2 linked regions of the Macaca mulatta genome follow. The protein of the gene in region 1 purifies or fractionates together with the protein of each later gene. This does not show direct contact. Links are inferred from orthologs where the notes say so. Each region holds a gene or a part of one and is shown in the gene's direction. Other genes may lie near its edges.

Region 1 (3,715 bases):
CATCTCTACTAAAATACAAAAATCAGCCGGGCATGGTGGTGGGCGCCTGTAATCTCAGCTACTCAGGAGACTGAGGCAGGAGAACAGCTTGAACCCAGGAGGCGGAGGCTGCTGAGCCGAGATTGCCCCACTGCACTCCAGCCTCGGCAACAAAAGTGAAACTCATCTCAAAAAAAAACAAAAACAAAAACAAAAAACTAACATTCTAGTTGAAAGAAAGCAACACATGGATGATGTAAATTACACATAAAAACCCATTCACTGAGGTTAAATGAAAATTTTGGAGTATGCCAAGGGGACCTGAAAGGGCCTCCTTCTGAGAGGGCGTCGTGGGAGGGCTTCAAGGATGGCGGGATGGTGGCAGGGATGTCGCGCCTCGTCTGGTTCGTAATGTCTGAAGCTCTTTGGTTCCGTTGTCTTTCACACCGCCGCCTCGGGCTCGCTTTTGCGCAGGGCCACGTGGCAGAGTTTTAGTTTAACCGCATGTCGGCCCACCGTAAACGGTTAATAACCGCCTTCGTGGACCAGGCCTCTGCCCTCCATCTTTGTGCGGGCGGGAGGTGGGGCGGGGACGCCAGGTGTAGCGGACAAGCGGAAAGGCGGCGGGTAGATCCGGGCCCCCAACCCCAACGTCAAGTTTTCAAAAAGCCCGCGCATGGCGCCCCAGGCCGCATCCGCTGGGAATGGCCCCCAGCGCGCCTCCTGCTCTCTCCCCTGCAAAGCCCTGGGCTGCAGAAGGCGAGGGGGTGGCAGACAGGTTCTGCACGCTGGGGGCGCCGGGGCAAGCGCGCACCGGGGAGCGCGCCCGTCCAACAGCTGCCGAAAACGGAAGTGGGTGCGAGGGGATCACGGTGATTGGCTGAACTGACATGTCTCTCAAGGGGCTGGCGCGAACGCCACTGCGGAGTTGGGCGCGGAGATGAGGAAAGGGGAGGGGGAGAAACACTGGGAACAGCCGCAGTGCTAGGAGGAAATGAATCGCGGCGGTGCGCGGAGGGCAGGGAGGGACCCATGTCAAGGGACAATAGGGCGCTCGGGAATGAAAGCGGGTTGGCAGAAGGGGAGGCGGGAGCGGCACAGGCCGCGGGCTTGAATAGACCGCGGAGGGCGGGGAGTCCGTGATCTAGAGCGGCGCTGCGGCGCGGTAGGCGGGATTAAGGGGAGCGAGGCGGGGATTGGAGGGCAGCCCTAGGCTGCCGTACGTCGGCGGTGACGCACGCCTCGGGGAGGGTGCGCGCGCGTTCAGCGGCCTCTTTGTGTGGTGCCCAGATAGGGGAGCGGAGGTGGCGGCGGCGGTAGCGGTGGCCTTGGTTGTCTTCCAGTCTCCTCGGCTCGCCCTTTCGCCGGCACCGCTCCCCTTCCCTCCCCCTTCCTTTCTTCCTTCCTTCCCTCCCCTTCCCTTTTTCCCTTCCCTGTCGGTGACCGGCGGGGGTGGCTCCAGCAGCGGCTGGGCCCAAGCTGTGTAGAGGCCTTAACCAACGATAACGGCGGCGACGGCGAAACCTCGGAGCTCGCAGGGCGGGGGCAAGGCCCGAGCCTTGGAGATGGAGAATTCCCAGTTGTGTAAGCTGTTCATCGGCGGCCTCAATGTGCAGACGAGTGAGTCGGGCCTGCGCGGCCACTTTGAGGCCTTTGGGACTCTGACGGACTGCGTGGTGGTGGTGAATCCCCAGACCAAGCGCTCCCGTTGCTTTGGCTTCGTGACCTACTCCAATGTGGAGGAGGCCGACGCCGCCATGGCCGCCTCGCCCCATGCCGTGGACGGCAACACTGTGGAGCTGAAGCGGGCGGTGTCCCGGGAGGATTCGGCGCGGCCCGGTGCCCACGCCAAGGTTAAGAAGCTCTTTGTCGGCGGCCTTAAGGGAGACGTGGCTGAGGGCGACCTGATCGAGCACTTCTCGCAGTTTGGCACCGTGGAAAAGGCCGAGATTATTGCCGACAAGCAGTCCGGCAAGAAGCGTGGATTCGGCTTCGTGTATTTTCAGAATCACGACGCGGCAGACAAGGCCGCGGTGGTCAAGTTCCATCCGATTCAGGGCCATCGCGTGGAGGTGAAGAAGGCAGTCCCCAAGGAGGATATCTACTCCGGTGGGGGTGGAGGCGGCTCCCGATCCTCCCGGGGCGGCCGAGGCGGCCGGGGGCGCGGCGGTGGTCGAGACCAGAACGGCCTTTCCAAGGGCGGCGGCGGCGGTTACAACAGCTACGGTGGTTACGGCGGCGGCGGTGGCGGCGGCTACAATGCTTACGGAGGCGGCGGCGGCGGTTCGTCCTACGGTGGGAGCGACTACGGTAACGGCTTCGGCGGCTTCGGCAGCTACAGTCAGCATCAGTCCTCTTACGGGCCCATGAAGAGCGGCGGCGGCGGCGGAGGCAGCAGCTGGGGCGGTCGCAGTAATAGTGGACCTTACAGAGGCGGCTATGGAGGTGGGGGTGGCTATGGAGGGAGCTCCTTCTAAAAGAAAATTTAAAATGCCTGGGAGTGGCTATTGGGGTAGCTCTTTTCAAAAACCCAAGTGGGGTCAACTCCTAAGCCCCACCCCCTCACACCCACACCACCGCCTTCCCTGTTTTGCCCTTGGGGGAGCCACTTCTAAGGCTGCTTACCCTTGGGGGTGTTCCTCTATTTGCCTGCCACCTCTCTTGTCTCTCCCTCTGAAGATGGACTCGGCCCCACATACACATTTTTGTGTTACAGTCATTGATGGACTCTATTTTTTTATTATTACTTGGACCTTGGTCGTTTTTATACTAGCAAAATGTCTTGTTTTAATTTGTGTTTTTTGGGGGGAGGGAGGGAGTGAACTTGCTGATTCTGTAGCAAAACCTGGGCGGGGGTTGGGGTGGGGGGTAGTTTACTTTGTTGTAAGGACTTGATAACCTGGCTACAGCGTTTTCTATGAAATCTACTTGGATCCCATGCCTGAAATTTGGAAGCATATGTACAAAAATCATTTTTACGTTTTATTTTTAATAAATCATTGTGTTTGACCGTACATGTCTAACATTTCTTTTCTAGGATCCATTCCGTACCGTTTTTAAGGGATATTTGTTTAAGACTTTACGTGTTAATTCTTTATTCTTGATGTGTACTTAGAGAAACTTAAGAGGTCCTGTGGTCCCCCCCCCCGCCCCCCGTTGCCCTGCTAGTTGCGTGTTGAATTATATCCCCTACAGGCAAAACTTTTGAAGTGGTGGATGTGGCTTTTTAAACTCTTAAGTTTCTGTGCATCCATCTCTTGTACTAAGCGATTTGCTTACCATCTTGACATGGTTGGTCATTTCTATGACAATTTACTTCAAACTGTGTACTGTGTAGTTCTATATAGTTTGTGTTAAGCATGTCATTCATATAAACTGTTTAAAATTTTTCAGATGGCCTAGTTTCATCCCTCTTACTGGTTTATCTGTAATGAATGGTTAAAAATGAGGGTTATATTTTACCCTCAGATGCGTTTTTGTACTTTCAGAGCAGGTTTAAACGGTTTTTTTCCCCCTCTATATCTGAACTGTTGTCCTCATGGAAATCCTTTTCCCGATCTTTGTAGCACCACCTACTGGCAGAATGGCAGAGTAGCTGCGAAACAATTTGTTTAAAAACTTGCTTAGGACAATTGCATCAGATATAGAAGTTTTGCCATCAGAATTCTTTGCAGACTTGGAAGTTACACGTTTGCTTGTAACTGAGATGGGCTTCACAGGAATGTAGTTGCCAGTT
Region 2 (2,735 bases), on another chromosome or scaffold:
GTTTTTGTTTATCTTAAACAACTAAGAGCATGGACATCTTAAAGCAAAGAAATGAGAAATTTATCTTAATTCTTAAAATTTTTATTTGCTTCAGGTTTTAAAATTTTTTCCTTTGCCCATGAGTTTTTATTTACAAATACTTGATACTTGCCAAAAAGGCAGAAAAGTGATACAATGTTTAGCCATATAGTCTTTGTTTAGATTCACTAATTTTCAGCGTTTTGTACATTTCCTTAATCATTTGTGATGAAGTAGTAGGCACTACCACATTTTACATCAATACACTTCATATCTTTTAAGAACATGGTCACAATACCACCCCAAAACCTTAAGTGTTTTAGTAATACTATAATATGCTATTGTACTAAAATCCTTCCAGTTATCCAAAAATGACCTCTAATTCCTCATCAAAAATGACTTACTGCATTTGGTCTGTCTATAAAATGGGTAGATGGTTATCCTCATTCTCTTTAATATAAATAAGGAAACCGGGCACAGATAAGACTCAAGGTCATACAACTAATAACTGATAGAACCAGATTCAAACCCAGGCAACATGCCTCCTGAAACAGTGTTCTTACTAGGCTTTACTGTGGCCCTCCTAGGTGCTTAAATGTATAGGATAATTCAGTAAGCATCATAGGCAGATAACAAATTAAGTATTCATGGGTGTTTAGGAGAAGAGAGATTATTTTTGGTAGGAGGGCTGGTAAGCAAGGAACCTTTGTATATATAATCTGTTTCTATGAGGGATAGTAGTCCAGAAACTAGAAAGAAAGGGATATACGTAAGAGAGTTTAGGATGTATGAATATGTGGTGGCCTAAATTACAGTAGTAGATAGAATTTTTCAAAATTAGATATACATTTTTCAAAATCGTATTTCAGAATTATTGCAGGAAAACTTTTAGTGATAAAGACCAAATAGTTTATTGGCAGCTCCAGGAACCCTCTCCTAATGCTTGCCTTCTTGGAACACTATGTTGTTGACCTGAGTAAGAGCACTTCTTAAAGTTGTAATGACATACTGCCAAAATTCAAAACCTTTGAGATTGAACCAGAAAGAACTTCAGAAAAACAGATGGATATAATTGATGACTGTTTTAGAATAGCAGATCAATTTTGTTTCAATTTCGATTTGTGCGTTTGGCTTCATTCCCTTTATGTATTAAATTTTCAAATATAACTAACTGTGTGCATTTGGTGAGTGGTTGGGAAATAATAAGAATGCTTTGCTGAAGTGATGGTTTTGTGCTTTTCCTAGGTATGGAGATGGTCCACGTCCTCCCAAGATGGCCCGATACGACAATGGAAGCGGATATAGAAGGGGAGGTTCTAGTTACAGCGGTGGAGGCTATGGCGGTGGCTATACCAGTGGAGGCTATGGTGGCGGAGGCTATGGTAGCGGAGGCTATGGTGGCAGCCCCAACTCCTTTCGGGCAGGATATGGTGCAGGTGTTGGTGGAGGCTATAGAGGAGTTTCCCGAGGTGGCTTTAGAGGCAACTCTGGAGGAGACTACAGAGGGCCTAGTGGAGGCTACAGAGGATCTGGGGGATTCCAGCGAGGAGGTGGTAGGGGGGCCTATGGAGGTGGCTACTTTGGACAGGGGAGAGGAGGTGGTGGCTATTAAATCTTGGTTATGTCAGTTCCTGTGTGTAGACAGTAAGGAAAAAAAGGCATGCTATGTGTTACGTGTTTTTTCCAATATGTTTATTTGCCACCAAAAAGTAAATGCATTTTCACCCATTCTGTGGTTCATTGTAGTTTAAGGAAACCAAGCATATAGATGCATTAGTGATTTTGTTTATATTATGTAAAATATAACGATCTATCTTAAAAATACCACAGTTTGTATTTTTTCTTTAAGGAGTAAAGATTTGCCTTTAAATAACTTGGTATTTTCCTGGCTTTCGTTTAATACAGTAGAAAATAAAGTATTACACCGAATACTTGCCGTGTAGTTTGTTGACCTTATATATTAGAAAATTTTATAATGCCAGTTACATCTGTTCATTTTAAATGTCAGAGAAGTTGTACCATGTTTCAAAAGTATACTAAGTGATACTACTTGTAATAGAAAAATCACCTTGGAATTGTTACCTTTTGAAGTAAATACTGGCAAGTGTACAAGCCACATAAACCTGAATAAAACTTTTGACCTAGGGCTGAACATTTGGCTTCCTCCCATATTCTGTCTTTGAATAAGACCAAGGCCAGCATTTTCTTTTCTAAGTGAGTTTCTACTGTGACAATTAAAAGCAATATAATCACTCCGTTAGAACTCTTAAGCCACTTTAATAGACATGTTCATACATTTATAACACTTTACAGTTTCCAGTGAATTTGCAGATTTCTCATTTGAGCAATGGGAGAGGGCAAAGGTATTGGATTAGACAGAACTGGGTCTGTCTTAATTCTTTTCTCCACCATGTGGATGATCTTGGGCAAGTCATATTTTTGTCTTGGTTTCCTTTTCAAAGTCCTTTATCCTGCATATATGTTGTAGATCACCTTCAGCAGTTAAGCTGATGGCACATATTTACAGACACACAAGTCTATCTCCAACCTTGATTTCCTTTCTGAGCCATGTAAGCAGCTGCATACTGAACATGTATCTCTGCTTAAATATCCCACAGAAAAAAATCTCAGTGCTTTCCAAACTGACCTCCTTCCCCTCCCAACCTACCCTATGTCCTGACAGTACTGTGTTCTCTGCTCCGTTTTCTTTGGAGTTT

What was found.
Region 2: the proteins of HNRNPA0 (region 1) and DHX9 purify together in Homo sapiens (affinity purification with mass spectrometry; 3 studies listed by BioGRID and IntAct, with this or other methods). This does not show direct contact. The link is inferred for Macaca mulatta from reciprocal best matches to the Homo sapiens genes HNRNPA0 and DHX9.

The regions. Positions count from the first base shown.
Region 1 is NC_133411.1:146,603,336-146,607,050, reverse strand, and holds HNRNPA0 (heterogeneous nuclear ribonucleoprotein A0), read left to right. Parts: upstream 1-1,375; 5' UTR 1,376-1,544; coding exon 1,545-2,456; 3' UTR 2,457-3,127; downstream 3,128-3,715. UniProt on the Homo sapiens protein: mRNA-binding component of ribonucleosomes. Specifically binds AU-rich element (ARE)-containing mRNAs. Involved in post-transcriptional regulation of cytokines mRNAs.
Region 2 is NC_133406.1:40,348,951-40,351,685, forward strand, and holds the end of DHX9 (ATP-dependent RNA helicase A), read left to right. Parts: intron 1-1,263; coding exon 1,264-1,630; 3' UTR 1,631-2,041; downstream 2,042-2,735. UniProt on the Homo sapiens protein: Multifunctional ATP-dependent nucleic acid helicase that unwinds DNA and RNA in a 3' to 5' direction and that plays important roles in many processes, such as DNA replication, transcriptional activation, post-transcriptional RNA regulation, mRNA translation and RNA-mediated gene silencing.